Linked DNA regions of Rhinolophus ferrumequinum. The protein of the gene in region 1 interacts with the protein of each later gene in a pairwise test. Links are inferred from orthologs where the notes say so. Each region holds a gene or a part of one and is shown on either strand. Other genes may lie near its edges. The genes, in order: myomegalin, TNIK, CCDC146 and IMMT.

The links.
Region 2: the proteins of myomegalin (region 1) and TNIK interact in a two-hybrid assay, tested with the Homo sapiens proteins (2 studies listed by BioGRID and IntAct). The link is inferred for Rhinolophus ferrumequinum from reciprocal best matches to the Homo sapiens genes PDE4DIP and TNIK.
Region 3: the proteins of myomegalin (region 1) and CCDC146 interact in binary tests that used the Homo sapiens proteins (3 or more experiments, as listed by UniProt). The two-hybrid records come from large-scale screens. The link is inferred for Rhinolophus ferrumequinum from reciprocal best matches to the Homo sapiens genes PDE4DIP and CCDC146.
Region 4: the proteins of myomegalin (region 1) and IMMT interact in a two-hybrid assay, tested with the Homo sapiens proteins (2 studies listed by BioGRID and IntAct, with this or other methods). The link is inferred for Rhinolophus ferrumequinum from reciprocal best matches to the Homo sapiens genes PDE4DIP and IMMT.

Annotation. Positions count from the first base shown.
Region 1 is NC_046305.1:49,320,660-49,327,908, forward strand, and holds the start of myomegalin, read left to right. Parts: upstream 1-4,235; 5' UTR 4,236-4,954; coding exon 4,955-6,079; intron 6,080-7,249. UniProt on the Homo sapiens protein: Functions as an anchor sequestering components of the cAMP-dependent pathway to Golgi and/or centrosomes.
Region 2 is NC_046285.1:71,065,522-71,072,361, forward strand, and holds the start of TNIK (TRAF2 and NCK-interacting protein kinase), read left to right. Parts: upstream 1-3,834; 5' UTR 3,835-4,204; coding exon 4,205-4,261; intron 4,262-6,840. UniProt on the Homo sapiens protein: Serine/threonine kinase that acts as an essential activator of the Wnt signaling pathway. Recruited to promoters of Wnt target genes and required to activate their expression. May act by phosphorylating TCF4/TCF7L2.
Region 3 is NC_046303.1:46,629,567-46,637,570, forward strand, and holds the start of CCDC146 (coiled-coil domain-containing protein 146), read right to left. Parts: upstream 3,003-8,004; 5' UTR 2,871-3,002; exon of another isoform or gene 2,751-2,870; intron 1-2,750. Other genes in the region: protein FAM185A, read left to right, coding at 3,465-3,894, 6,472-6,581. UniProt on the Homo sapiens protein: Essential for sperm flagellum biogenesis and male fertility.
Region 4 is NC_046296.1:8,225,146-8,232,938, forward strand, and holds the start of IMMT (MICOS complex subunit MIC60), read left to right. Parts: upstream 1-4,773; 5' UTR 4,774-4,911; coding exon 4,912-4,956; intron 4,957-7,793. Other genes in the region: MRPL35 (39S ribosomal protein L35, mitochondrial), read right to left, coding at 1,653-1,695. UniProt on the Homo sapiens protein: Component of the MICOS complex, a large protein complex of the mitochondrial inner membrane that plays crucial roles in the maintenance of crista junctions, inner membrane architecture, and formation of contact sites to the outer membrane.

The DNA.
Region 1 (7,249 bases):
ACTTTTTTTTTTTGGGGGGGGGGGGGGGCGTAGTTTTTAGTAATTAGAACAGCTATTTCCAATGTCATAACTAAGGCAATGAAAACCTAATAAAACTGGCTTGAGACATGGGGATTTTCCACATCTCATTCTCTTGGAAACTCCTTCCTCACCCAGAATTAGGTCTTAGAAACACTACAACACAGAGGGTACAAAAGTGGCTAAGGTTCTAAGAGAGCCTTCCCAGGGCTCCATGATCTGGAGATCAAAAGAGAGATAGTGCAAAAGATCCTGGCCATACTAATATTTAGGAAGTTTGTTCCAAATTAGTGATAATTCTCTAACGTCAACACTTTTGTAAGTAGTTCTTCGTTGATGGGTTTTCCCATTTATCTGCAGAGTGTCTAATCTTTTGACTGACATTTTACTGAATACAGTTTAGGATTGTTTTAATTCAGTGGTTTTCAAAGTGTGGCTCCCAGACAGCAGCCAACAGCAGGATTTGGGAATTTATTAGGAAAGCAAATTCTTGGGTCCCACCCCAGACCAACTGAATCAGAAACTCTAGTAAGTAGGTCCCAGCAATCTCTGTGTCTTTACAAACCCTCCCTGATTCCAACGTACGCCAAAGGTTGAAAACAACCGTTTAAATTCAACATTTGTAGATTAGGAAATTAAGGACCAGTTATTAGTGATTTCACCTAGGACATACAGCTAACAAGTGCTTGGGAGTGCACTCATCAATCCATTTTTGAGGGCAAACTGCTGATATAGCAAATGAATAATTTGTTTAATTTATAATAGTTTGTCACAATATGAAACCTGTTCTCAAATTTTCCTTTCTTATGTACCTTTGATACGTTTTAGAAATAATCATCCTATTCTAAATGATCATAAAATCCCGAAATCTCACCTTAACAACATGGCATGCTTCAATCGTAACTGTGTGGTGTGCACAGACATATAATAGTTTCCAAAGCTCATATGGATAGGAACCATAAAGTTTTGAATGTGCAATTGGGCCTTTTATAGAAAGAGTTCTAGATTCTTCTGGGTTCTAATGTATCTTCTCAATTTTCAAACCTATTCTTATGATAAAGTGGGGTTTACTTTCTACCAAAGAAATCCATCAGATAAAAGTTTATGGGTAATATATATTTTTATATTTATATACCCCTTTTTATCTTTCTATAAATTGAACTATACCAACATGTATAAAATCTACAAATCTAAGAGTTCAGTATATGAGCTTTGATGGTTGTACACATCCATGTAACCATCACCCAAATCAAGATAAAGAACAATTTCATCACCCCAGAAAATTTCTTTGTACCCCTTTACTGTCAATTCTCACCCTATCTCGTCCCCTAAAATCACTTCCTGAATTTCTCGCACTATAGATTCTTTTTTTGTTGTTGTTAGACCTAAAATAAATGGAATCTCATGGGACGTATTGATGGGTATATGACTTGTTTCATGCTTCATTCATGTGGGCATCAAAGTTCTTTCTTTTTTATTGCTGGTTAGTACTGCATTGTATGAATATATGAAAATGTGTTTTTGCTTACCTTTTTCTTAGTAATAATTTTTTTTCTTATCACGAAAGCAATACATGCTTATTATAGAAAATGATAGAATATCAAGGAGGAAAGACGAAAATAAGCATCCATAATTCCATTCTCTAGACATAATTGCTGTTTAATAACTTGTATATTCCCTTTGAACCTTTGTTTATATGTTGTGCACATATATGTAATATATATAGTTATCACGTTACAAAGATTCTCATTTTAGGTTCATGTTTTACTACTTAGACTCTGATACTCGTGTGTTAAATTGGCTCAGTTCTTAGTTTTTACTATAGAATATTCTCTAAATTTAAAAAAAATTAAAAAATAATAGACGACTACACATTCATGGCCAAAAATTCAAATGACACGTGGTATATAGAATAAAAGTAAATGTTCTTGTTGAGCCCCACCCCCTTTTGCTTGCCTTCCCATACGTAGCCAGTGTTAACTAAATACAAAATCTTGACCAAGATGACATTCGTGAGGACCGTGAAATGCTGAATTTATTATCTCTTATCTTAATTTTTAAATTTAGTATTACAGTTTTCTTCTATGTTTTATTTTTCAATTTTTGCGTTCAAGTTTTGCTGTCTACACACCAGTGATCTTTTAGTTGGGATGAAATGATTTTATAATAACAAATGATTATGTTAGGACTATTTCTAGTACTAAAGTTTACTATCCATTTTGAAATATGGTTTTTACATATTTTCTCTAGGAGTGAATAGAGTGCTAGCTTCAAATTTTCTTTGATTGAGTGATTTATTCCGATCTGTTGTTGAAAGCCTCGATATGTATAGCTCTCTCTTTTGGTATGTTGATCTGTACTTATAGCAAACAAATTCTCCAATGGTAAATCGCCTTTTCTCCATTTATACTGATTTGCACTTCTACACGAAGCTGTCTATATACTCATTCAAGTTTAGAGACGCTCGGCCAGATGCACAATTTTATTAAGGAACAGAGAATATTACAAAGTATTCTTTAGTTTGCTCCTGAAAAGCACTTTGTTTCATTAGCATTTTCACCCCCTGGGAAAACGTGGCTTGCATTCAGTCAGAGATGAGGCTTGATTAATTTGTTAGGAAATTTTTGAATTTGCACTTTTATGGAGTTTTGAGTCCTTGCTGCTGTTTAGGACAATACTTAAGACAGCGTCAGCAGGGTCGTGTCCTGTAGGCCAGAAACACCTTGCCTCTCTTTAGATCATATAGATTCCAAAGACTGTTGTTTAATTTCTTCTGACTTTAGAGTTCCTATACCTAGAGGCAGGCAAAAATGCAGCTGAAATGAGTTTTACTCTTTTTCTCGTCTTTGGTTTGAGGGCCAGAACACGCAGATTTAGGTGAAATCACATACGCAAAGTTTTGGAGCCTGTGAAGCCCCAAAGCTCTAAGGACTGACCTGTCTTCCAACGGAGCTACTAAGATTTTTGTTTTGGTGATTAAAATAAATGACAGAACAGTACAATCTTATGTGTGTAGAGCCCCATAAAGTTTTAAAATTACTTTAAAATAGTCCCTTTATTACAATATCAAAATAACAGTATTAAATATTAAATATTAAATATTAAAATTACAGTATTAGCTATTATTTAAGGAGCTAAGCATTGTTACAAAGTACTTCCCCTAAATCATCTCATTTAACCCTCGAGACATTTGGAGGCTTTTATGAGCTCTCACTGAAGGCATTTGAATGTCTCCAGGCTTAGGAATGTGGGTTCTGTCTTGCAGATGAGGTTCAGCAGTGCTTAAATACTGTTGTTTGCCTTGACCTCTCACAAGGTCAAGTTAGTGACATTTAGCATTATTGTCACTGGGAAATGTGCTCCAGGTGATTGCTGGGTCGGTTTTTCTTCCTGTTTGGTGTCTGCCTGCCTCTCAAAGCCAAGAAAATTCTTTAAAAGTACATTAACACCTGGATCCCTCCTGGTCAGAGCTCCGTGTTCCCTCCAGTGTTTGCTTGCGCCCAAATTCTACACCCAAGGTTGGGTGACTTACAACTGTATGGTGGTGAATAAGACATGGTACTAACTGAAGTCAGTGCAATTCCCAGCCCTAAGTCTGCACAGAGCAGCACGGCCTCACACGCTGGACGCTTTTGTTCCAGAGTCTGTCTACCCTCTCCACCCCTCAAATAAGGACTGTAGTCTACCTGAACCTGAAAGAGAACTGGGTGACGGTAATCTACTCTCAGGTGTCTACATTCTTGAAAAAGTCCATTTTGTCTGCTATTATCTACAAAATCTTGGTTAACCAGCTGCATTCACGTGGTATTTCCGGGACTCTTTCTCAGGTGACTGCTTTGTGCCTTCCCTTGATTTCTTTTGTTAAAAAAAGGGGGGTGGGCGCAAGTCATCAGAGTGCTAAAACCCACCACCCACACCCTCCAACACTTGTCTTCTTCTGTACATACTCCGGATAGCCGAGGGAGAGGTAGAACGGAGCCTCCTTAAATCCGCCCTACCTGCCTCCTCTGGTTTAAGAACCCTTTCTCCCCGCCGGCCTCTGCAGCCGCAGGGCCTTTTAACGCAGGCACCGGCCTGGGGAGGGAGAGGAGGTGGGGCCGCAGGCGGGAGGGGAGCGGCGCGCAGCGGTACCTAGTGGCGCGGCGCGGCCCGGCGGCTCCATCCGGAGTACGTGGCACTAGCCGTGGGGAGAGAGGGAGGGGATTCGGCTTTCTCTTCCCCACGCAGCGCCTCGGGACATCCTGCAGGGGCGACAGTGAGGATCCAGGAGGGAAGTGGTGCGCTTTTTCGGTGGAATCTCAAACGATGAAAGTGGCCTGGCGGTAGTCAGCGTCCGCCCCGCATTCCCCTGGGTACCCACTGTGAGCCAGGTCTGTGTTCCACCGCGAGGAGCGGTGACCCGATTGGGGGGTGAGGGAGACGCGGTCGCCACCCCGCATGCGCAGAGCGGGGGTGCGGCCTCCAGGACTACAGTTCCCAGAGGAACGTGCGGGTGGCCGCAGGCGCGAGCCGCTGGCGCCATCTTGAAATCTGATCCTCAATCTCCGAGCCTTTGCGTCAGCGGCCGGCGGCGGCGAGGGGACGGCGAGCCCAGCCCGCTAGAAGCGAGGACGCTGAGGACGCGGCGGCTGGCGGGAGAGACAGCTGGCGGAGACATGGCAGGTTCCGAGCGCGGCCTGCGCGGCTGTCACTCAGCATCCCCCTGAGGCGTTTCTCCGCCCGCGCCCTCCCCGAGGGGCGGGGCCGACCACTCTGGTACCCAGAGCTCGCGCGCGGGGCTCGGAAGAGGGGCGCCCCTGCACCGTGGGGACCCCCCGGGGCTGTGCCATGCCGGCGGGAGGCCACCGAGGCGGGAGACGGAGCGCAGCCAAGCGCCAGTGAGTGATCGCCGAGCAGCGGGCGCCTCAGGGAAGCGCGGCAGCCGCCGGGAGGGAAGATGAAGGAGATTTGCAGGATCTGTGCCCGGGAGCTGTGCGGGAACCAGCGGCGCTGGATCTTCCACACGACGTCCAAGCTCAACCTCCAGGTTCTGCTTTCGCACGTCCTGGGCAAGGATGTCTCCCGCGACGGCAAAGCCGAGTTCGCTTGCAGCAAGTGTGCTTTCATGCTCGATCGGATCTACAGATTCGACACCGTTATTGCCCGGATCGAAGCCCTTTCCATCGAGCGCTTGCAGAAGCTGCTGCTGGAGAAGGACCGCCTCAAATTCTGCATTGCCAGCATGTATCGCAAGAATAACGATGACCCTGGCGCGGAGCCCAAGGCGGGGAGTGGGACGGTGGACATTTCCGGCTTACCCGACGTGAGGTACTCTGCATTGCTGCAGGAAGATTTTGCCTATTCGGGGTTCGAGTGTTGGGTGGAAAACGAGGACCAGATCCAGGAGCTCCACAGCTGCCACGCTTCGGAAGGCGCTGGACACCGTCCCAGGAGATGCCGCGGTTGTGCAGCTTTGCGGGTTGCCGACTCTGACTATGAAGCCATTTGTAAAGTGCCTCGGAAGGTGGCCCGAAGTATCTCGTGCGGCCCTTCTTCCAGGTGGTCCACCAGCATTGGCACTGAAGAACCAGCACTGTCCGAGGTGGGGCCACCGGACTTACCCGGCACCAAAGGACCCCCCGATGGCGAAAGCATGGAGGAAGGGACACCGGGATCCTCAGTGGAATCTTTGGATGCAAGCGTCCAGGCTAGTCCTCCACAACAAAAGGACGAGGAGACTGAGAGAAGCGCCAAGGAACTTGTCAAGTGTGACTGTTGCTCAGATGACCCGGCTCCCCAGCCTGTGTGTAACCACAAGCTGGAGCTAGCTCTTAGCATGATTAAAGGTCTTGATTATAAACCCATCCAGAGCCCCCGAGGGAGCAAGCTTCCCATTCCGGTGAAATCCAGCCCACCTGGAGCCAGGCCTGGCCCTATCATGACAGATGGAGTTAGTTCTGCTTTCCTTAACCGGTCGTTGAAACCCTTTTACAAGACACCTGTCAGTTATCCCTTGGAGATTTCAGACCTGCAGGAGCTGTGGGATGATCTCTGTGAAGAATATTTGCCACTCCGGGTTCAGGTATACAAAATGGCTACATCGTGCTTCTTTGATCATAGTTTTCTGGCCCCCAGGCTTCACGTGATTTCTGTCTAGGTGAAGGTTAATAATAGTCTAGACTGAAGGATATTATTTCTAGAATTAAGAAAATAATCATTGCACCCATTTTTGTTGCACCTTTTGCTTGTGTCCCATTTAAATGAGACCCAGTAAATGTGTCCCAGTAAAGGAGATTCACATTCAATTTGCTTTTCATAATCCTCTTTGTAACAATATTGGCCTTCCCATTCATTATCAAAACTGCAGACCTTTCAAGACAAAAAGATAAAGATTTCTAATTCACGTTTACCCAATGAAAAGACATATAATCTTACTTCTGGCACTAGAACTCTTCCCTCCTTCCCCCTTCTCACCCCCTTTTTTGTTTTGTTTTCGTGTTTAGATTTGTAGATGTTTTCTCTCATTCTGTAAGGGAGTTAGTTCTCCCTGAAACATTAAACCTTTTATCCCCGATACGCCTCAAACAGATTAGAGCATAGGGTAAAGGTTTGGGGAAAACCTATTAATTCACCAAAATATTGTAACATGTGGACAATATTTATACAAAAGTAATAGGTCATTTGAGGACTAATGATGACTTGCTCATAAAAGAGACTTGGGAATTCAAGGGTTGTCATTTAAAATGTTAAGGCGAAAACTGTTCCCAGCCCGTTAGTCTATTGAGCTTCTTTAGGAGATGTGTAATGATATTAAGAGAGGATTCATCCATTATTGAGTGATAGGAAAGTTTCATCCATTATACTCTCTGAATTTCTTAATGACCAGGATATGGCAATTGATCTTAGTTTGAGCTGTTCATATCTGCCGAATTGATTTCGTGCCAGCCTTTTAAATTCAGCTATATACAGGGACCTGACAGATGCTGTTGTGTTTCTATAGCAACAGTAAATGCTAGGTTCAGTTAACTTTGTGAAACATCTGGTATGTTCTACTTGATACAAATTCTTTAGTGATACCTTTACAAGGGTGGACAATCTAGAAGGCATTTTTGGAAAGCCTGCTAAGGTCAACATCATCCTAGAAATTTAGAGCTAGGTAACAAATGAAATTGTAAAATTGTATCCAATAAGAACTTAAGCAGAAAATGGGAGACGTTTTTCAATTTACACAAAATTGTCAGAAACAGCGTAT
Region 2 (6,840 bases), on another chromosome or scaffold:
TTAAAACTTCTTTTTGCGCTATTAAAAATAACTTTGGGTGTTTTAATTCATTTGTTGACTGTAGTTAGTGCCTCTCTTTCATAGTAATAGGTTTCCACAAATGATTAGTGTTCTGGGTTATCTACTCATCTTACTGTTTGGAAATCTCATTTGCCTATTTGTGATGTGGATTCTAATTCTGAGTGTTTGCTTTGCTGAATGTGGTTGTTGGGAAGCGGGGCCGGAGAGGACATGGTGCAAGGCAGGGCATGCAGATAGTTTACCTTCTGCTTGTGGGTGTATGTGGTCCCATTTCTCTTAGCACTTGGTGATCAGTTCCTTGGGGTGATACCCTGTCTCCTTGGCCCGAACGCCCATACTCATAGTGGGTGTCAGGGCTGGGGGTGGACACATCCACCTGCTAATTCTCATTACCTTGCTTAATTTTCTTCATTTCACTTACCACCATCTAAAATAATCTTAGTTATCAATTAGTTATAAGTGTATTATCTGACTCTATGAAGGAAAATCTCCAGGGCCTCGTATTGTGTCTTGCACAGAGTAAATGATCCATACAGTTGTTGAATGAATGAAAGAATGAATGGATGCCATTCTTTAATCGTTCTTCATGATGAAAGTACCTGCTCTTTTTAGCCTTTGCCTCTGAGTTTGAAGCTGCCCCAGCTCTCACTCTGGTCCCACCCCATACAGTTTTGGTTTGTATCTCAACTGGCAGTCCAATCCTGCCTGTGTCTTATACGCTAGGAAGTCCTCTGAATTGCTAGACCATGGATGCTGCCTTTTTTGTCTTCTAGAACTCTAATGAATTTTTTAAAATATATTTTCTGTTATATTTAGGAATTTGTGGTGACATAAGATGTACAGTGTGCTTTTAGAAGCTCCACCAGCAGTGTTACTGATTTCCACAATGTTTATTTTAGTTGGATTTGACAATAAACAACATTGAACCTAATACAGAGAACATAACCCCCTTTGGAATTCTCTTTTTTATAAATATTTTTAAAACAAAAATATTTCAAATATACAAAAAGATACAGAGAACAATATAATGAATAGCCATTAGTGTAATGATCCAGATTTAGCAATTCCAAGCATTTAGCAATATTTGCTTGAGATATTTAAAAAAATAAATTAGACATCATTGTTGGAGCTCCTTTGTGCCTTCCCATTTTAGTTTTCTTCTTCCGTTCTTACTATCCTGAAGTTAATCTATATCCTTCCTGCCTGTGTCCATGGTTTTTATAGTTAAGACAGATATAAACAGAATACAAGCCTATGTCCATGCTTTTTATATTTAGATAGATATAAACAGAATATCGTATTGTTCTGCAGGCTTTCAAACTGCATATATATGATAGCAGTTCTTTCAATCTCTCGGATTACACCCAGAAGAAAATCTCACTTTGGTAAAATTTTGAATGACTTTTCTGGCTTTTGTTAACCTCTCTTTTAACAACTACCTAACAGCAGGCCTCAGAATAGAAGCCTGAAGCAGGCCATGATCGCTAAGTAGAATTTAATGATATTGCTTTATTTTCCATTATATTTATTTTAATGGTTCCCTTCTTCTTTTTTTCTTTTTAGCAAGTGTTGCTAGCTTTCCATTTATAGTAGTAACTTATGTTTCCTTTTAAATGTAAAAAAAAATGTTGATTCAAAGAAAATATTAAGCAAATAACAACAGGGCAGGAGGTTTACCAAGCTCTACCTGATCTGATCTGTCTTCCTCAGGCCAGTAACCACTATTACTCCACCTCTAGCACCAGCTGCTTCAAGTTTCCTCCTTTTCTTCCCTTAGCAGCTGGAGGTGCCTTGGCTATTGTACCTCTCCTCTTATGGTATTTCCTGCAGCCAGCACCCCTGCCTCTACCTGACTCTTGTCATCCTCCGGGCTCCTAGGAAGCCCTCTCCCATGTAGTACCAAATGACAGAATATATAGTTTTGTGATCTAACTCTAAATCCAAGGGTAGAATGTAGTGCCGGTATTACGGCATTCTCATGGTCTGAAACAGCATACTAATGCCGAAAGAAATGATCCATTTCTGATGTTTCAAATAAAATCTGGAGTATAAAATGAAGGTTCTCCATGAAAAAAACAAAGTTTATCTCATTTTAAATATGTTCGGAGTTTTAGCAATAGTGCTGTTCATAGATCTCAATACCTGATTTTACTTAATTTTATTCAACACTTGTCATCTAGATTAAGGGTAAAAAAGGCACTTAGATGGGAAAAATAAGGATAATAATAGGAAATGATAGTTTTCTACGTCATTTCGACATTACTCGGTGGCTTACTAAACCGTTATTTACCACCCTGAGCTGGATGATTTTATTAAAAAATAAGAGATCACATAGAGCGTTTTGAATATAACACGTTTAAACGTTTGTCGTTTTAATGGCAAAAGCTCCTAAACAACTCTGTGGCCATTGAGCTGTAATCTTATTCAAGTTTCATGATGCACAGTGCATATAAACACAATAATAACAAAAACAGCACAGCGCCTATCGAATGCTGTTTAAAAGCCTTCTAATGTCTGCAGTCCTGACGAACTAACTGCTTGGGCTTCCATCCATCCATCCATCCATCCATCCATCCATCCATTCATTCAAAAGCCTTATTCTTAAGCTGGTATCTACACGATAAAAAAAATCCTCAATGCATTTGGCCAGAAGTAAATCTTATCTTAACAGAGGTGCAACGGTGATGCTTTCAAAGCTACTGCTGTATTTGAGCAAAAGTTCAATTTTAGCGTTTCTTTCTACGTATGTATTCAGGATGGGCAAGGCTAGGGAGGGCAGTGGCAGGGCTGAGGAAGCGACTTCACACTCTTGATTACTCTTGAATGTCATGTTTACCACTGTAAATGTTCAGCCTTTAAATGAGAAAGCGGGTGGAGTGGGATTGCTCTCTGGTCGCACATCTCGTCTGTTACATCTCATACGCCAGCCAAACTTTCTCCATCAATCTGGGTAGATCAGCCGCGGTAACGTTCCCTGAAAGACAAATGTAGAGTCCTGAGTCGGCGTGCGCTGCCTTACCCAGTGTTGCCTTTGGAGTTACCTGAAGAATTAGAGCTAGTGCACCCAGAGAGCAAGCTTCTCGTTTCAATTCGGTTGTTTCCGTGGGGGAATTGCGGCACGGGCAGGTCCTGGGTGTGGCGGTGCGAAGAGGGAACTCGGACTCCCAGCTTTCCCGCTTCTGGGAAACCTTCCTACCCGAGTGACCCGCCATCCGGGAGCCCGCGGGCCGCTGGCGGACCCCACCTAGCCGCGGGGGCAAATTGCCGAGGCGCGGGGCAGGGCGCACCGTGCGAGCGCGCGTTCTCCCCCATTCGTTCCGCGGCTGGAGGCGGATCCCTTTCCTTGCACACAAGTCCTTATATGCACCGGTTGCACCAGCCTGCGTTACTCCAGCCCCACAAATAATTAATGGGGGAGGGAGGGCGTCGCTCTTTTTTTTCCCTGGATTTTTTCAGCGCTACAGCATTTGAACCCTGCCGAGAAACCGCCAGATGCGATTAAATGGCCATATTGCTGCAGCGCACGAATTGGACATACAATAATGTGTGTGTTCAAATAGCCCCTTTGCCTCTACGATAAGGACCGCAGGGTTAAGAAACAACTCTTCAAAGCCAGCCCTATTAGTCCACAAAAGCCTGGGAGGAAAGGGTGCCCGCCCCTCCCCCGTCCACTCTGGTGCAGAGGGAACGGGTCAGGAAGCGCGGCCTCTCCCCAGTCGGAGGCCACGCCTCCTCCGCCTCTTTCTCCCCTTTACTCCTCCCAGGAAGCGATGATAGACAGTTCTGTGTGGTTCTCCACCCCCACCCCCCAGCTGAGTGGAGGAGTTGATGTGTCTCATTATAACAGCCAATGCAGCCGCCATCCACGCACAAGCAAAGAAGCATGTCCCATTTAAATACACCCACGCAGCCCCAGCGCCTTTAGCCGATCAGGGCGCGCAGCCCACACGCACCGCTGCTCCGGGGTTGGAGATCAGCGCAGGTTGGGCTCCTGGACCGGGCGGACCCAGGCGCCGAGGATCAGGATCCGGCGCAGTGGAGCCCGGGCGGGCGGGGGAGGCTGGGCCCAGGGGCCTCTGGCGCGACACCCGCATGAGGACGCGAGTGAAATAGACCAAGGTGGAATTTCCAAGGGAAAAGCTTCGGGGTGGTTTTGGTCCATTTCTCTGGCGAAGAAGTAGACATGGCGAGCGACTCTCCGGCTCGCAGCCTGGATGAAATCGATCTCTCGGCTCTGAGGGTGAGTGTAGAACGTTTTCTGATTTCTTTCTCGTGGTTTGGGTCAGGGTGAATGGGATCGGAGCGTCGACTGGGGCTGGTAGGCAGAGGCGGGCGAATGCGACGCGGAGGGAACCTGGGTTCTCGTTTGGATTTGGGGGCTGCTGAGGTGCTTTCTCCGAAGCCCCTAGAGCAGGGGCTGTACGGTACGTGTCCACTGGTTGTGGCCGAAAAACCCCCAGGAGCGTGTGGAGCTTATGCCAGTTTCATCTTAGACCCTTGTAAGCGCATTAAAATGAAAGGCTCGTGTGTGTGTGTGTGTGTGTGTGTGTGTGTGTGTGTGTGAGTATGTGTGTGCGCGCACAAGCCCGGGGCAGTCGTCTCGTGCCAAGGCGCGAGACCTGATTCTTTCTGCAAAAAGAATAACAGCGTGAATAAAGGTACTGGCCCCTCACGTTTTACAGTTACCTGTAAGATGACATTATGAGCCTGGTGGTTCCCACGGAGTGGTCCCTGCTTCTCCGAAGGGGCAGCTGTTTCTATGCTGGTCTTGTAGATGGCAACGGCCCCTCTTCCCCCCTTTTCTGCCTTCCGCGCCCCGACTCCCTCTCAGCGCTCTCTTAATGGCCAGTCTGCCACTCACCTTTATTTATGGTTTAAACTGAGCCCAGCCTGTGCTTTCTGATTTTGTGGCTGTGACATTTCAGTTTTATGGCGAACTTAAGCAGGTGAAAGGGATGTGTTCTCTGCTGTTCCCCAATCAGACCGGAACTCCCGAGTGTGTGTGTGTGTGTGTGCGTGTGTGTGTGTGTTTTCCCTGTCTGTGGCCAGTCCTTTGTAGAGCACCTCCCAACCCTCAGCCCCACCGGCTTGCGTTTACCTTCACGTGAATTGCCTCAGACACCGTTTCATTGTATTGACTAAGACATCACTGGTATAGAATCCATTTTGCTGTTGTTTTGAGACCAGAATCCCAGGAATCCCAGTGCAGCCTCGACGCCTCCCCACCCCCACCCCCCAATCTCAACACTCTCCTTCGGGGAAGGGGGCAGAGCTTTCTTGCCATTTTAATTGGATGCTGCCTGCCGGGAAGGGGATGAGGGGTGGGGGTGGCCACAGCAGCAGGGGTCTTAGAAGGAGTAGATTCCAATTTACAGCCGGCTTCTTCCACTCCTGAACCAAAAATAAAATTTTAAAAAAGCAACTGTATATACAGGAGACATGGAGGGTGGATGAGACCGAATTGATGGTGGCTCTCAAGGCAGGGACGTGCAGGACGGCTGAAGCTTGGAAGTTCACGTTCTATCCTGAGGAGTACATTGTTAGACTGTACTGCATCTTGGGGTTATATCCCTGAATCTCCACTACTTCTCTGGATACTGCCTCCTTCTCCACTGTTATTTTCAAGAGCTATCTTTATGGTCAAAGTGTCACTTTTTCTTTAGTGTCATTAATCCTCTTTCCCTACCTAGCTCTCTCTTTTTTAACTCCTCCTCGCCTTCTCTTGAATCGTTGCATCCAAAAGGTGAGGTTTCTGCAAGGCAGTCAAGGGGTTGAGAAGGAACAGAGATGCCATTTGTAACTGGCGTTTTTGATAGCTGGGCAGCAAAAGCTCATTCATGCATCATTACAGTAAGCTGCCTATTTTACTGCCTTTGAAATGCCACATGCAGAATCCCATGCCCCCTGGGCAGCTGGGGGTGGGGGTTGGTAACAGGGTGGATGCTCTGGCTGAGTCTGTCGCTTCCTTTACAGACTGTGTGTGTATTCATTTGCCCTACTTTCTGCACTGGGAGTTGGTGCCAGCCAGTTAATCAGGTGGATGGATGGTCCAGACTTCAGAGTGGGGGAAAGTGGCAAAGGCTGGGGAAGGCATCTGAACAATGGGCGAAACGTGTGAATTTCCTGAGTCAGAATCTTGACATCGCTCCTGTAATGGAAAGCACTCTGAATTTAAGTTGGGCTTGGTCAGAGGTGTCTCTCGTGGTTTTTCTTGGGGAAGGGTTTTTGAGATACTGAGCACAGAGCCTGCAGGGCTTGTGGGCAACCCTGAGCGCTCGCCAGCAGCTCTGGAGGCAGTTCACACATGGGAGACCTGCACTCCTGAGATCTATATTTTGAAAAAATATCTTTGCAAGATTCACTGAAATTTGTGAATTGGGCTGAGTGCTCTGCCTCTGTATTTGTGCCTGCAGGAGGTATGGAAAGAGGGAGGGAGGGCTAAGGCTAGCCCAGGAGACTGGAGAACAGGCTGCCTGCTGCCTAGAGGACTTACATGCAGATGTGGAGACAGTGGGAGGGCTGGGGTCTGCCACCAGTCTTGTGGTAGGTGAGGTGTGTCGGCCAGGAGTGGGTCCAAAGACCATATAGGTAATTTTCACAAATCAGAGGACAGATCATCTGTCTCTGTCTTCCCCAATTAGAAGTGGGTTCATTGAGATGAGAGGTTTCATGTGTTCCTAAACCCTCAGCCTGCCTGCTGAGAACCTTTTGGGAATGCCTGACCCCTGAAATGCAGCCAAGGTCAGTGGCTTCTAGGAGAATTTGCTGCAGCCTTACCAGTCCCTTGCTGTTTCAGTGGCTCTTTAATGTACACAATCA
Region 3 (8,004 bases), on another chromosome or scaffold:
GAGGTAATAGAAAAAATATATATATATTGGTCTCTGCCACTGGCTCCTGAAACAGGGCTTCTGAAACCCTTATAGTTTCCTGGGTGATAGAAATGCCTTTTGTTCTGATGAGGGGACTTTGGGTGGTCTCCTGGATGGTTCCTGGATGAGGGCTGGTCACCGGAAAGAACAAGCCATGCTTAGAAATCGCGGAATTTTTAGCCCTGATCTCCATTCTCTTGAGAAAGTAGAAGGGCTGAAAATAGAGTTAATAATCTATCATGCCTATGCGACGAAGCCTCCATAAAAATCCCAACAGTATGGGGTTCAGAGAGCTTCCAGGTTGGTAAACATATCCACCCTGAGAGGGTGACCCCAACTCCATAGGGATAGAAGCTCCTGCTCTCGGGACCCTTCCAGACCTCACACTATGTATCCATTAGGCTACTTATCTGTGTCCTTTATCATATCCTCTAATAAACTGGTAAATGTAAGTTAAAGGTTTTCCTGAGTTTTGTGAGCTACTCTAGCAAATTAATTGAATCTAAGGAAGGGGTTGTGGGAAGCACCGATTTGTAGCCAAATCAGACAGAAGTTGTGGGTAAGGTAGGGACCTACTACTTGCCGTTAGCATCTGAAGTGGGTGTGAGCAGTCTCGTGGGACTGAGCTCTCAACCTGTGGAACCTGACATTATCTCCACATAGTGTCACAATTGAGTTAAATCGTAGGACACCCAGCTAGTGTCGCAGAGAATGGCCTGTTGTGGGGAGAAGTCCCATATACTTGGTTACTAGAGTGTCAGCAATGAATTGTTGTGAGTGTGGCAGTAATGTGAGAGTAAAGGGGACACTCACAGAAGGAGAACTATAGGTTTTCCCCTTACAATTATATTATGGGAACTTTCCCATACCAATGAATAGTCTTCAAGATATAAATTTTAAATTGTTCCATAATATTCCAGATGAATACTAATTTATGTGACTCTCCTATTTTTGGACATTTAAGTTGCTTCAATTCTTTACTATCTTTACTAAGTAACCCTGTAAAACAAAACTCCTTAAACATAAGTTGTTTTTGAATAGCCCAAATTTTATGTTTACATTAAATTCCAAAAAGTATAATTTCCAAGTCATGAATACATATGTTTTAAGGAAGTTTATGCATATTGCTGAACTGAACGCTGGAAAGTTTGTAATAACTTACACTCCCACCAGCAGTATATGTTCATGACCATAGGAATAGCTTTTTTAAAACTGAAGATGTAAAAATATCTTACAAGTACACTCTAAATAAGGGGGAAAAGTTATCTACGTATGATTCTCCATTCATTCATTTTCGAAGTCATATGATCAGAAATTTTTCAGTCTATTAAGTTTTATTATGTTTACTTCAAAATAGTAAAAACAATCATTTTGCCACAGACAGTGAAGGTTCAGTTGCCAATTCCATTTACTTGGTGTGTCTCAGAAAAGAAAAAATTACCATAGAAACAACATTATCTATTAGGGATTCCTATTTAACCTAAAAATATTTGGCACATGTACAACACATATGAGTGCATTCTCAACTTGCTTAAACAAACGCCTTTATCAAATTCTTTTTCAAAGTTATTCCCGTGGGTCTTCATTAAAAAGACAATTTGAAGATCAGTCTGAATAATTACGACCAAATAAAACACAAAGCCAAGGACTGAACTAGTATTCAGTGGGAACTTGGTGAATCTAAAAGTTAGCACCTATTGTGAGTCTTCACTAGGAGGAAGAATAATGAGGGAGGAAAGACTAAGAGGACAGAAAGGAGGAAAGAATAACTTAAGAAAACACTGAATTTTTGAAAATGTATTGGCTAGCAAAAAAACTCTATGACTTGGGCCCATAATGGACCTTAGCTCAGCTCACTAAGACATTTCTCTATCAGGATAGCTCTCAGTAATTCTGATTATTGCAGTTAGCCAAAGGTTGTTTTTTAAAGGCATTCAGTTTCTACACTTGAATTTTATTAAACGTCATTGTTTGCAGTGTGTCTTTACTAAGAACTTAGGGAATAATTTGTAGGAGGAGGAAGTGGCACAGAAAGGGAGAGAGAAGCAGGAAATGAGGAAATAAATCTTTTCTTTTCCATTTTTTAAATTACCCACAGAATAATAAAAGGTAAAGTCATTTAGTGCAATTCCTCATCATCTTAAGGTTGAAGAAACAGGACCAGGTGACACACACAAACCAGGTGCAGAGGCAGGAAAATAATCAGTCCCACGTTCTTCCTATTGCACGATATTCTCTCTCTCTCTCTCTCTCTCTCTCTCTCTCTCTCTCTCTCTCTCTCTCTCTCTCTCTCTCTCCCTCCCACCCTCCCTCCCTCTCTCTCTCTGTCTCTCATTTTAGCCCTAAAACCGAGGATCATTTGTAGTTAAAGAGATCGATACTGCTGTCAACACAAGTCCTGATCTCTCAGCTTTTCTTTTCGTAACTTAGGAGCAATGTTATCCCTAAAATAAGTATAGAGTACTTTATTTACACTGCAATTTCGTAGCCTGTGCACCGCGTTCGAGTCCATTATCTGATTTGATCCTTACAAAAACCCTTTGAGGCAAGACAAGGAAGGTATTATTGACCTCATTTTAAAAGCGAGCAATTAAAACCCAGAGACGTCCAATGACTGGCCTAAGATTACTTAAGAGTAAGAAGGAGGCAGGACTCTAATGCTATTCCTATATTTGTTGTCAAAGAGGGAGTTCACTCAAAAGTACCAATCTGGCTCTTTATCCTCTTACCTTAGAGATCCTCCATCCCTGGGTACCCCGTTCTAGTTTTGTGAAGTTTGGACCTAACCACCCACTGACGGTACTCCTAGTTTGCATCTAATTTTCACCTTTAAAACTGCAGTTTCTTACCCCTTCCCTTGATACTGATCCTTATTTAGGCTCCTATTTTTCTCTGTAGGTTATGGCTTCCAGGGTCTCACTCCAAAGCTCCACCCTCTCTAAAGAAGTCGCGTCCTCGGTATCCAAGGAAACCACACAGCCTTGCCACTTAGCCCTCTCCGCTCTTTCCATTGGCCAGTTGGATGCCATGTAGATTTTTCTTTCCGTCCCTCCAATGGCTAATGGGGTTGAGGCAAAGAACGCGCGCCTTCGGAGCAGTAGGCTACACCTGCTCTTACTACCTGCGCATTGCTTCCTGGGATATGTAGTTTCTGAGCTGCCAGGAACTCTTCGCTCTTTGGCTCCCTTTAGAACTACCTATCCCATCGGCCTTTGCGAAAGGGAGGTCGGTAGGCGAGATGTCCGGTCAGGGTGGATACTTAGAGCTTTGACATTTCAATTTGCTGTTGAGGCATGAGCGGCTGAGATTTTAAATTGAGGGATATAGCGAGCAGTCTTGCTCTTACTTCAGCAAACCCTTTGCACATCGGTGCAAAGTCGACTGGCGGTGGCGAGACTGGGCTGTGAGTGAGGTGATCGAAGGGAGCGCGAGAGGGGCGCGCCATGTTCGCCCCTCGCTGGGGCTGGGGACTCGGCTGCCTCCGGCAGCTCAGAGTGTGGGACGGCGAGGCCACCGGACGTTGGGCGTGTCGGGCTTGTCAGGCCCGGCTTTCCGGCTTAGGTGGGGGCGAGCGCGGGCCCGGGTCCGAGCCTGGCCCCGCGCACCGGACTCTGAAGGCGTGGGAGCTGCTGGTGAGCCCGTTCGGTCGGCTGCGGGCGCGGCTCCCGTGCCACCTGGCGGTGAGGCCCCTGGACCCCCTTACATACCCCGACGCCGACCGCGTGCTGGTCGCGGTGAGCGGAGTGGAGGGCGGGGCTCAGGACCTGGCGGACCTGCAGGTGAAGTACGACGAGGCGCGGAAGGAGGTGGCCATTGTGTCTGACACCATTGACCCCCAGGCGTCCGTGGAGGTGATCGCGCCTCTGAAGTTTGGCAAGTGAAATGACGTTGCAACGGGTTTGGGTCCCAGGGCACACCCAGGACCTCCTCAAATTTGGCGGAAGTGCACTTTTAATTGGTCCCTTTGGATCTGACTTTCCAACCTAATTTACAGTTGTCCCTTGAGGAAGCTGCAGCTTTTTTCTGTCCTACTTTGAGTTTCCCCCTAGTGGTTACGAATTAGTTTCCCAATTATAGACATTTTATGAATCGAATGGAAACATGGTTTGGAATGTTCTATGTGAAATGACATTTGTGGAGCCCCTTAACGTTCTCCTTTGGCACTTTGTTCCTGTTTCTATTACTCATTGTGCTTTGTCAGTAGCAAAGTGTTTTGTTTTGGGGAGGTTGACTTTGCTTGATAATCCCTTCAATGGTGTATGGCAGTCCATCCACATTTCCCCCTGCTCACAGCCTGGGGGTCTGTCCCCAAACAGCCCTGTCTATTGGATTTTCCATTTCTAACCTGGACCAAGTGTTTGGTTTCAAATAGGCACCCAGTTTCTTAACTGATGCGTCTCCATTCATTTTGGCCTAAGTAAATTTCCTGAGAGTGGCAGGTTTTGAAGAAAAACACATGGTAACACTATCTGGAAAACTTCAACTGATAATGCCTGCAAGATGTGTGTTCTAGGTATTTGGGTTGTATGTTATTTCTCAAATACAAGACAACACTTTTGTAGGAAAGTCTCCCCAGGCTCCCTTCCTTCCTGGGACTGATATGTTGATGATCATAACAGCAGCTAACACTTCTATGATGATCTTTTCAATCCTTACAATTGCTTTATAAAGTAGATACTGTTATTGTCACACTTTCAGATAAGGAAATTGAGATACAGCAAGTTTCATAAAGTAAATATTTATTGTGGGTGAACAAATAGAAAAAAAATCCATGCCTTTGTGAAGTTTATATTCTAGTAGGAGTAGATCAAGAAGTATGCCTGTTTGCTCTCAGAGATGAAGTGGTGGAACTGAAATTTGAATTGACTGGAGTCTGCTTAACCACTGTGCTTTATTGCTTCTCAACTTCTAACTAGCTTACATGAATAAGAGACCCTGACCTCAAAATGTAACAGTCTAGGGTGGGGAGGAAGATCTGCCAAAATGTTATTGTAGTACAAAGTAGAGGAAGTATTGTGATAGAGATACACCAAATTTTATGGCAGCACAAATAAAAATGGAACTACCTGTGTTGGTGATCCCAAACCTTCTTATTTGTTGATTCTACTTTTTAGAGCCAGAACCCCATTTCCACTTCACTGTTTCCATGTGTCTATTCCATAGCTCCTCAAATCAATATAATTCAGTTTTCTTCATACTTTATTATTCATCAAGTTTGTTGATACTTGTTTCAGTGAATGGATGAAAGTAGTATTACTGTCACTCAATGTCTAGCCTTAACTTCTCTACCTGTCTAGTGAGGGTAGACTATATTTAGAATCTGTTTTCCTTTCTCCATGTCTATCAACGCTGTGTTAGTCAAGCCTTATGTTGTAACACTACTTAACTGGGTAAAAATTTTGCAGTTACACTTGCATCCAGGTAAATATGGGGTAAAATTGTCTTTGTATTTTAGATTAATCCCAACCAAAATATTGCTATTATTTTAAATCTTTATAGAGACTGCGACATATTTAAGAAATTGATTTTTATGCCATAACTACTGAATTTGTGGTGTTGCACCCCAGTAGTTTGTGTTTGGGGTAATATAGTGTTTGCTTCTCTAGTCTAGTTTAAGTAAAATCATCAATATTTATTTGAGTTAGGTATTAAATGTCAGTGTTTTCTTATTTTATATTTTTGTACAGAGACACTTAAGATTACACTTTAAATTGACAGCCAAGGATGCCACCTGTGACTCCTTATTTTCCAATTTTCTTCAGATAATACTGTTATTTATCCACAATTTTGAGGTTTTAATATCGTTTAGTACTATGTTTTTCAAAGTTGTTCCCATTTTTCATTACTGAAAATACCTTTTGATATACCTGCGTGGTAATATCTTTATTTTTTTAGATATGAAAGGTTAGAGATAGGACTTGAAATACTAAGTTATGATCATATATACTGATCCTGCTACTCCTGCAAAATGCTTTTTAATTTGGGGGAGGGTTGGAAACAAATTTTTAAATCTTAATGAATATAAGAGAGGAGGCTAACTGACTTATCCAGTTTACCATAATGACTGTTAAACTTGCTGTGTTCTTACTCGAACTCTGTGTATGTGTGTGTTTTTTCAGTGGGAAAAAAGCTTCTCTTTTCCCAGGAGTGCCTATAAGATTAGGAGTTTCTGACCTCCCTTATTTCCCTCCTATATTACTTTCTCTCTTTAGATGATACAGGCCAACGAAAACTACTTTATTTCTAAAAACTGGCAGAAAAGGGCATTACATTTGGTGTTGGCATGGTGGAGACCCCTTACCTTTAGGGAGAGACTACTGACGACTATGCTCTCCCCAGGGCTCAGTAATTATGGATATAACTGAGGAGCTGGATTTCTAGGGGGTACGAATATGCTTTGGAGCCCATTAACCATGGTACTAACTTGTTTTTTTCTTTTTTCATTTCTAGACTTGAATATCAAATCATCAGGGTCTGGCTGTATAAAAGTCCAAAATATTGAATGTGATTATTGCAATATTGAAACTGAGCAGGGGACTAGCATCTTACAGTCTATTAAGGTATAAGCACTTTTCTAATTTTGTTTCAATATTATTTTTAAAACAACCCTTAAACCATGAACTGCCATATCAAGCTAAAGCTATTATTCTGAGTACCATTTTGAGAATATTGAATATCATTTATTCATTACTCAGAAATTACTTGCAAAAATTTTGCCTAGACATTAGTTCTGTTCTGAATATATAGAGGTTGTAGCAACTTTGAAAGTTTTTTCCTCATATTTCTTTTAGATTTCGTTTTGAAGTATACATGAAAATAATAGTACATTTTTAAAATATTAGATTAATCACATGTTTAATGTACCAGGTAGCTCATTACTTAAGGATTAAGTAGGTATTTGTGATAAACAACAAATGATTCATCTTGTTTTGTAATAACATTTTTATATTTAAATTTTTTAATTAAAATTTTTTAGGGTGACAATGGTTAGTAAAACTATGTAGGTTTCAAGTGTAATATTTAATTTTCTTAAAATTAGATTGGTCTTAGCTGAAGATGATTTCAAATATATCTCTAATAGGTTTTAGATATCTTTGCTAGAACTGGTACTACTTATACTTGCATGTTCAAAACACAATAGTTTTGTTAACTTTGGTGGCAGGTAACTTTGTTGAAGAGAAGTCAGTCATCTTTATTTCATAATTGCAAAACATTTTTATTTTTAGATTCATAAACTAATTAGAGTAATTAATGCATTTAAAAACTTGCACGTTATTAGTTTTGTTCCAAACACTTTTATTTGCATACTTGCATTTAGCATCTGTCCACATGTAAACCATTCCAAATAAATTTAGTTGCACCAATTTCATAAAAGATTAAAGAATACTGTAACATATCCTTTTTCAGCACAATGAGATAGTTCAGGTTCTTATAAAAGATTGCACAGTGAAATCTTCATGTTGGATGATTACCTGGATGAAATGCCATAGTTCCTTTTTTCCTTAGAAATATATAGTTTACTCATCAATGCTTGAGTTTCAGAAAATTCATATAAAATATTGTCCTCTGAAGACTCAGAGTCTTATTATTTTTTAATTTTTATTTATTGGGGTGACATTGGTTAGTAAAATTATATAGGTTTCAAGTGTACAATTCTATAATACATCATCTGTATATTGCATTGTATGTTCACCACGCAGATGAAGATTCAGAGTCTTAGATTTTCAGTTTCAAATCAAAATTAGAAGCTAGTATGCTGCTATCATTCATCTTTTGATTTATCTGGTAATTATGAAAGATCTTTTTGTCAATTTTCTCTTTTTTTGCCATTGTGGGCATAAAATGAAAAATGAATCCTCAACTTTGGCACTGTTGACATTTCGGTCCAGATAATTCTGTGTGTCAGGGGCTGACCTGTGCATTGCAGCATCCCTGGCCTCTACATACTAAATGCCAGTAGCACATCTCTCAGTTATGACTCAG
Region 4 (7,793 bases), on another chromosome or scaffold:
CACTCTTACCTTAGAGAAACCCCAGCACTCATGTACCAGCACATGAGGTCAATCAGCTTTGTACCTAATCGTCCCAAACTAGAAACACCCAAATACTCATCAACAGTAAAATGGAGAATTGTGGTGTAGTCACATAAGAGACTATCATATAGCAGCAATGAGAAAGCCCTGCAGCTACGTGCAAAATGAATTTAACAAAGTAAAAGATACAAGAAGACATACTGTGTGATACCATTCATGTAAAACACAAACAGAAGAACTAAACAACATATTACTTAGAGATGCACACATAGAGATGCTAAAACTCACACACAAAAAAGACAAGGTAATAAAAACCATGAAGATAGTGTTTACATTTGGCAAAAAAAAGGGACTTTTGACTGGGGAGGTTCACTGGGGTGCAGAGGAAGTTCTATGTCTTGACCTGGGTTAGTTATAGGGATGTTTGCTTTAGAGTTTAGAGATATTGTGGGTTTGGTTCCAGACCACGACAATAAAGTGAATATCGTAATAAATCAAGTCCAACGAATTTTGGTTTTTCAGTGCATATAAAAGTTATGTTTACATTATATACTGTAGTCTATTAAGTGTGCAATAACATGTCTAAACACACACACACACATATATGTGTGTGTGTGTGTATATATATATATATATATATATATTCCTTAATTTAAAAATACTAACCATTATCTGAGCCTGTTGGAAAAAAATGGTGTCAGCTGACTTGCTCCATGCAGGATTACCACAAACCTTCAATTCGTTAAAAAAAAAAAAAAAAAAGGCAATATCTACAAAGCACAAAATGAGGTACAGCCTGTATTTAAGTCATTCATGTATGTTACATAAATTTTTCTTTGTTGTATTTTACAATTTAAAAATACCCCGTGTAAACAAGCTCTTGTATAACAGTTGGAAAAATTTACATGGTAGCATTTTTTTTCTTTCTATTCTTCCACAGAATTTTATCATTTATTTTTTTGTGAATAATTTACTCATAATCTTATCATATTTGAATGATGTTTAATTTTTTGCAAAAATCCTTAGGCAGATAAATTAAGTTGCCTTCATTCCTGTCATCTCAATCAAGAAATCCTATGACTGCCCTTGTGTCTGGGGCTGAGTGAGGAAAACAGCCACACTGTGTCCCTGTACCTTGTGTGAATACCATACATAGAAAATTACTGTGCCAGCACTACTCAAGGCGCTTTACATGCTGGAGCTCATTTAGTCCTCAGGTAGGTGGTATTATCCCTATTTTAGAGTTGTAGAATCTTAAGTTGTGAGAGACGTTTTCAAGGTCAAAGGTCGTGAATGGTGGGTCCCAGGCTCTGAATCAGAAAATTAGGTGGGGATTTTCTGTTTCCCTCGCCCATCTCCAAGCCTCTCCTCGTTTGCTTTCGAGGGAAGGCTAGGAGCCGGTAAGGATGCGGAAACTACGAGCCACCCAGATCCAAGAAGGTCCAAGAGTCTCGGGGATCTCCTGGGCGGCCGAATACAGGCAGCCCCGGAGAAAATTAGGCACCTTCTGGCATCAAATAATGATCCCCTCCTTTTTTTTCCCGTTAACCTCCACGCTAAACCCCCACTCCATCCTGCACCAGTCCCCCCTTCTGTGAACGTAAAAATCGAGCGCGTTGCTCTCCACTAACCTGTTGCTGCTCTCACCGCACTAGCAAATGTAGGGGCCGCCATCTTGCCACCCCGCCGTACGGCAGCCGGCTTGGATCTAAAAGCTTCAGGGCAAAGGGGAATTAAGGAAAAGTAATCTGGGTGGAGTCAAAGAAAGGGAAAAAAAATTAATAAAGGAACGATCAAATCAATTTTTATTGAACGTCTTGTATATGCCAGGCTGTCCTTCATTCCTGTTAAACAAGTGCCTGGCATATAGTAGGCTCTCAATAAATTTTTTTGAACATTTGCTTGAAAAATATTTAAAATACACGACATACGTGAAACAATCTTTTTGCTCATTTTATTCAATTTATTTCTGAGAATAAAACATTATTTTTCCAAAACTGGTAGAAGAATGAGAAATAGCAACATGATTAAAAATTATTTTAAAAATTGAATGCCAACTATAATCAAGTGAATGTAAACCTCCTAAGGATATCACACACATTTTTTCTAATCAATAACACTGACTGTCATTTGGTAGAACAGAATTTCAACTCGTCCTGAACAATTTTACCTTCCTTAGTTTATTCCTGGGAATTAGTGATTGTATGTTTTTTCTAATGTTCATGCAAACAAAAAAACCCAATGAACCTGTCTCCCATCCTTGTTGTCTGAGATATTCCATGCATATACAATATATGGCACTATTTGCTGGTTGAAACAAGTTAAGGGTTATAACATGGGCAAGATCATTGTTGGCAGTAAGAACACCAAGGGTTAAGGTAAGAAGAGAGGGAGCCAAGACAGAAAGACACAGGATTTATTTAGAGCAGTGGTTCTCCAACTTTTTGGTGTTAGACCCTCTTTACATGTTTAAAAATTCAGGACCCCAAAGAGCTTTTAATTATATTTATTAGTATTTACTATACTGGAAATTAAAATTGAAAAAATTAAAAATAAACTAATACTTGTATTAGTTTCCTATTGCTGCTATAACAAATTACCCAAACCTAGTGGCTTAGAACAATGAAGACTTATTATCTTATAATTCTGTAGGTCAGAAATCCAAAATGGGTTTCACAGGTTAAAATCAAGGCATCCAGGGCTGTGTTCCTTCTGGAAGCTCTAAGGGCGAATCTGTTTCCTTGCCTCTTCCATCTTCGAGAGGCTAACTGTACTCCTTGGTTTACAGCCTCCTTCCATATTCAAAGCCAGTAATTGCATCACTCTGACTTCTACTTCCATTGTCATATCTCCTTCTCTGACTGACCTTCCTAGCCCTCTTTCATTCCTCAGGACCCTCACAGGTAATCCAGGATAGTCCTGGACAGTACCCTCATCTCGATATGAATTTAATGATATCTGCAAAGTTCTTTTTGTCATTTAAGGTAATATATTCACAGGTGCAAGGGATCAGGAGTATGTGGACATATTTGGGGATAATTATTCTGCCTACCCCACTTATTTTTAAACAACAATTTATCACATGTTAACATATTTTCATAAAAAATACTCCAACATAAAAGAAATTAGTGTGAAGAGTGGCATTGTTTAACCTTCTTGCACATCTCTTTAAGGTCTGGTTTAACAGGAAGCTGGATTCTGAAATTTGCTTATGCATTCAATCTGTTGTGGTATCTGGAAAGCTCTACACTTAGGAGATAATGAATGAGCAAATATCTTAATATTATGGAGGTCTTTTTTATTTTATGGACCCTGAAAAGGGGCCTGAGGCTCCCCAGGGATCCTAGATCCCACTTTGAGAATCACCGCGATGGTTATCCTTCAGTTTCTCTGGGTTATAGGGCATATAAGTAGGTGATGAGCTTGGAACACTCTTATTGCTATCTTGATCTCCACCTACAGTGGCCACTTCGATCCTAGAAACATCCACATATGGTAGAAAAGCACTCTTGAGACATTTCATAAAGGTTCTTTGAGTTGGCAGTGGGTGTCACTGCAGTTTTTTAACAGGGGAGTGATTTAAATTTCTGAGTTACTTTAGGAGAGTCCATTTTAAAGCCAACAAAAATTCATAAATTGCATGTGGAGAATGAGGATTAGGGACTTGGTTAAATGAGAGGTTAGAAGTTGCTAATGGTATTCAGCTCTAAAGTGTGGCTGTGCCATACATGGCTGGAGCAGACTGAAATTGCTCATTGGCATTGAGAGGATTATGGCCAAAGTGTTAGAAAAGTCATCACACTGGCATCACCTAGCATGACAACAGTGGGCAGGGATGGGTGGGGAGATTGGAGTTCAATTGCTAAAATTACTAAAAAAGATGGGAGATTGCTCTGGAGCCTACTGGGTGATGGTGATATAAAATGGAGAGCAATGTGATTACTACAGTACCTTTCAAAGCATTGAGCATATACTAATATAATTATTTGATTTTAGGTAATTTTTAAATCTTTCTCCATTTTAGAAATGGGATTAGTAGCGTTGTCTACCATACCGTAATATATTACCTAGTTAAGACTTGAAAGTACTTTGCAAACACAATAAATATACAAGTCATTTAGTTTCTATGACATTGTACTAATAGTATTAAATACTGTGTTCAATATTTAATAGGTTGTACCTTGATTACAGACTCAGTGGAATATTCTGAAGTGTTTTTGCACTGACCTTATCTTCCAACAGACCGCGGCCAAATTACCTTTCTAAAATAAAAACTTGGAGAAAGCGGTGTAGTTTGACCTGGAAGGAGCAGAAGCTATGAAATCCGAAGACTCTCGGTGCCTGTCCCTGCTCTGCCATTTGTTAGATACGTGAACGACACATTACGCACAAAAGTCTCTCCAGTGTTCGTTCACAGTCTCCCGCAATCAGGAAGACTCCAGAAGAAGAGCTGTCAAACGAAACAAACGCGCAAGCCAAGACAACACCGTTTGGCCAAACTGAATCCTTTCTGCGAAATAGCTATCCCACAGAGACAGCTGAGATGCTTTCTTCTTTGAATTCTCCGAAGAGTCACGCCTATCCGTTTTCCATACGGATCGAAGCCTGAGTTTCACAGGCCCACCCTCCCCTCCAGTTCACCTACTAACGCCGGATTCGGCGTACAGATCAGAACGCCCAGCGCGACCCGGAAAAAGAAATCAATCTTTCCGCCAGGGGAGGACCCACTAGTATCTCGGAGCTGCGCGTGCGCAGTGGCGTTAATGTCCGCCGATACGCCAGGCGCAGAGAGGCGGCCCGGACGCACGTACGCACGGACGCAGGCGCTCCCCTATTAGTGCCGTTGCGGCAGCGCCGGAGTATACCAGCGGTGCGGTCCTCCCGGCCGAGATGCTGCGGGCCTGTCAGTTTTCCGGCGTGACCTCCGCAGCCCAGGTGAGCTCGAGGGCGCCGGGAGAGAACGCGTGGTGAAGCTGACTCCCGGCGGCCGACGGAAAATGAAGAGGGAGGCTTTCGCTCCGCTTAGGCCCGGGAACAGAGGGGCTCTCTCAGGGCCATCCTCATCACGGGAGTCCCGGACGGGCCAGGCACGCGGTTAATTTCGCCGGACAGGGATGCCTTGAGGGTTATTGCTGAAGCGGGATGGGGTGTGGAAAGGAGATGGCTGGGAGGCGGGCGCAGGACAGGACGCTCGGCTTTGGGGACTTATCCAATCAACCCCTCGCTGCCCCATTCAAGGACCAATCGTGGCTCCTGGAGCCGGGACGCCGGTTGAGCGCGTGATAGGTTTCGCGCAGCCAGTGGTTGAAGGTCGAGGGGTAGAACTACAGTTCCCAGCAGGAAATGCAGAGCCTTGGCTTTGTGCATTTTTAATAAGCAGGTGCTTGGATTGTTAGAGTCCGCGTTTTAGGGGTTAAGGCTGTAATTATTCCAGAGGGACTTTTCTTTTCGTAGCTGAGAACATCTCAGCCATTCTTACCCTAAACAGAAATGAAAGATTGTAGTTTATGGAGTTCCAGTTCTTGGTACTTGAGAAAGGACAGTAGTGATGACCTTGTGCTTATTTCTGAGATTAGCCTGGGGATAAGGTGCTGGGACAACTTTGGCAGACATCCAAGGCACCTAGATACCCAGTTTTATTTCTCCGCAATTATCAAAGTAACTTTCTAAAATTAAAAAGTAAACCTATTTCCATTGCTTATAGTTTTCAGAAAATTGATATTTTGCAAAATGTTGTATTGCAAAACAGTGCTCATGCTATAATGGAACAAAATCCCTAGACATAGTGAATTAGATAGAAATCATAAAAGCCAATGTTTTTTCAAGTTTGCTTATCTCCCCGGATTCATTTTAGGTTAGGAGAAGCAGCCTCTTAAATGGGATCTGTATTAGTTTTCTGTTGCTACATAACAAATACCGCATATTTAGCAACTTAAAACAACACCCATTTGTTATCTTACAGTTTCTGAACATGAATGGCCTGGGTTCTCTGCCCAGTGTCACACAGACTGCAATCAAGGTGCTGGCTGTGGTTCTTGTTTGGAGCTCAGGGTTCTCTTCCAAGTTCACGTAGTTTGTTGGCATAATTGAGTACCTTACATAATTTAGTAACTGTAGGACTGAACTCCCTGTTTTCTTGCTAGCTTTGCCTAGCCTCTCTCTCCCAGAGGCTGCTTGAAGTTCCTTGCCACAAGATCCTCAGAGGCAGTTCATAACATGGATGTGTGCTTTCTTGCAGGCTGTCAGGAACTGGTCTCTGACTTCAAAATCTCTCTTGACTTCCCTGTTTCTGATCTCTAGACCCAGATGGAAAGGGTTTCTATTATTAGGCCACGCCCACCTGGATAACCTCCGTTTTGATTAATTCAAAGTCAACTGATTAGTAACTTGAATGACATCTACAAAATCCCTTTTACCATACAACCCTAATCATGGCCTTAGCAGCAGGGTGTGGAGATCATGGGGGCCTTCTTAAAATCTGACATACAGTCGTCCCTAAGTGGGGCTAGAAGGATGAAGAAAGTAGAGCTGCCTTTCAGGGCAGAATTGTTGAAGTTTGGCTTTGGAGCCCTCCTTTCAGTGGCACACTTTTCCTTATTTTGTCCTCAGGTTGCATCAGAGTTGTCAGTGCTCTGATCCCTCTGTCTGCCCTAAAGTCCAAAATTACTTTTTCCTTTCTTGCTTTTATCAAAATATTTTCCCCTTGCTTTGTTCCCAGTCAGGAAATTAGAAGAAAACAGATTAAGACTTAGCTTGCAACCAACCTTTCTCACCTTCCTAAAACTGCTATCTTACAAGATTTTTTCCCCCACAACTTTTATAAAATGGTTTATTCTTACTATCTCCTCAATCATTCTGTAGCATTTTATACTGTTGTTTAGTGAAATTTTTTTTGTGGGTTTTTTTTTTTTTTTGGCTTTTCTCAGGTAATATCTTGGGGCCCATCTTACCCTTCATCTCTCCTGTTTTCCTTTGTTGAGTCTGCTTCCCCCATGTACCTCTAAATAAACTCCCAAGGTGTTTTCTCACTCTCTCTCTCTCTCAGACTTTGTTTTTGTAGAGTAGTTTTAGGTTCACAGCAAAATTGAGGGCAAAGTACAGAGATTTCCCATGTACCTCCTACCCCTACATATGCACAGCCTTCCCCAATATCAGTGTCCCCCATCAGAGTGGGACATTTGTTACAACTGATGAACCTACTTGACACATCATAACACACAAAGTCCATAGTTTACGTTAGGGTTCACTTTGTGTACATTCTGTGGGTTTAGACAAATGTGTGATGTCATTTTCCATCATTATGGCATAATAGAGAGTATTTTCACTGTCCTAAAAGTAGTTTAACTATTTATCACTACCCCACCCCCGGGCAACCACTGGTCTTTTTACTGACTCCATAGTTTTGCCTTTTCCAGAATGTCATACAGATGGAATCATACAGTATGTAGCCTTTTCAGATTGGCTTCTTTCACTTAGTAATATGTATTTAAGGTTTTTCCATGTATTTTCATGGCTTGATAGCTCATTTCTTTTTAGCACTGAATAATCCATTGTTTGGATGTACCACAGTTTTTCCGTTCACCTATTGAAGGATGTTGTGGTTGCTTCCAAGTTTTGGCACTTAAAAGTAAAGCTGCTCACAATAGTCATGTGCAGGTTTTTTGGACATAAGTTTTCAATTCCTTTGGGTAAATACCAAGGAGCACGATTGCTGGATTGAATGGTGAGGGTATGTTTAGTTTTCTAAGAAACTGCCAAACTATCTTCCAAAG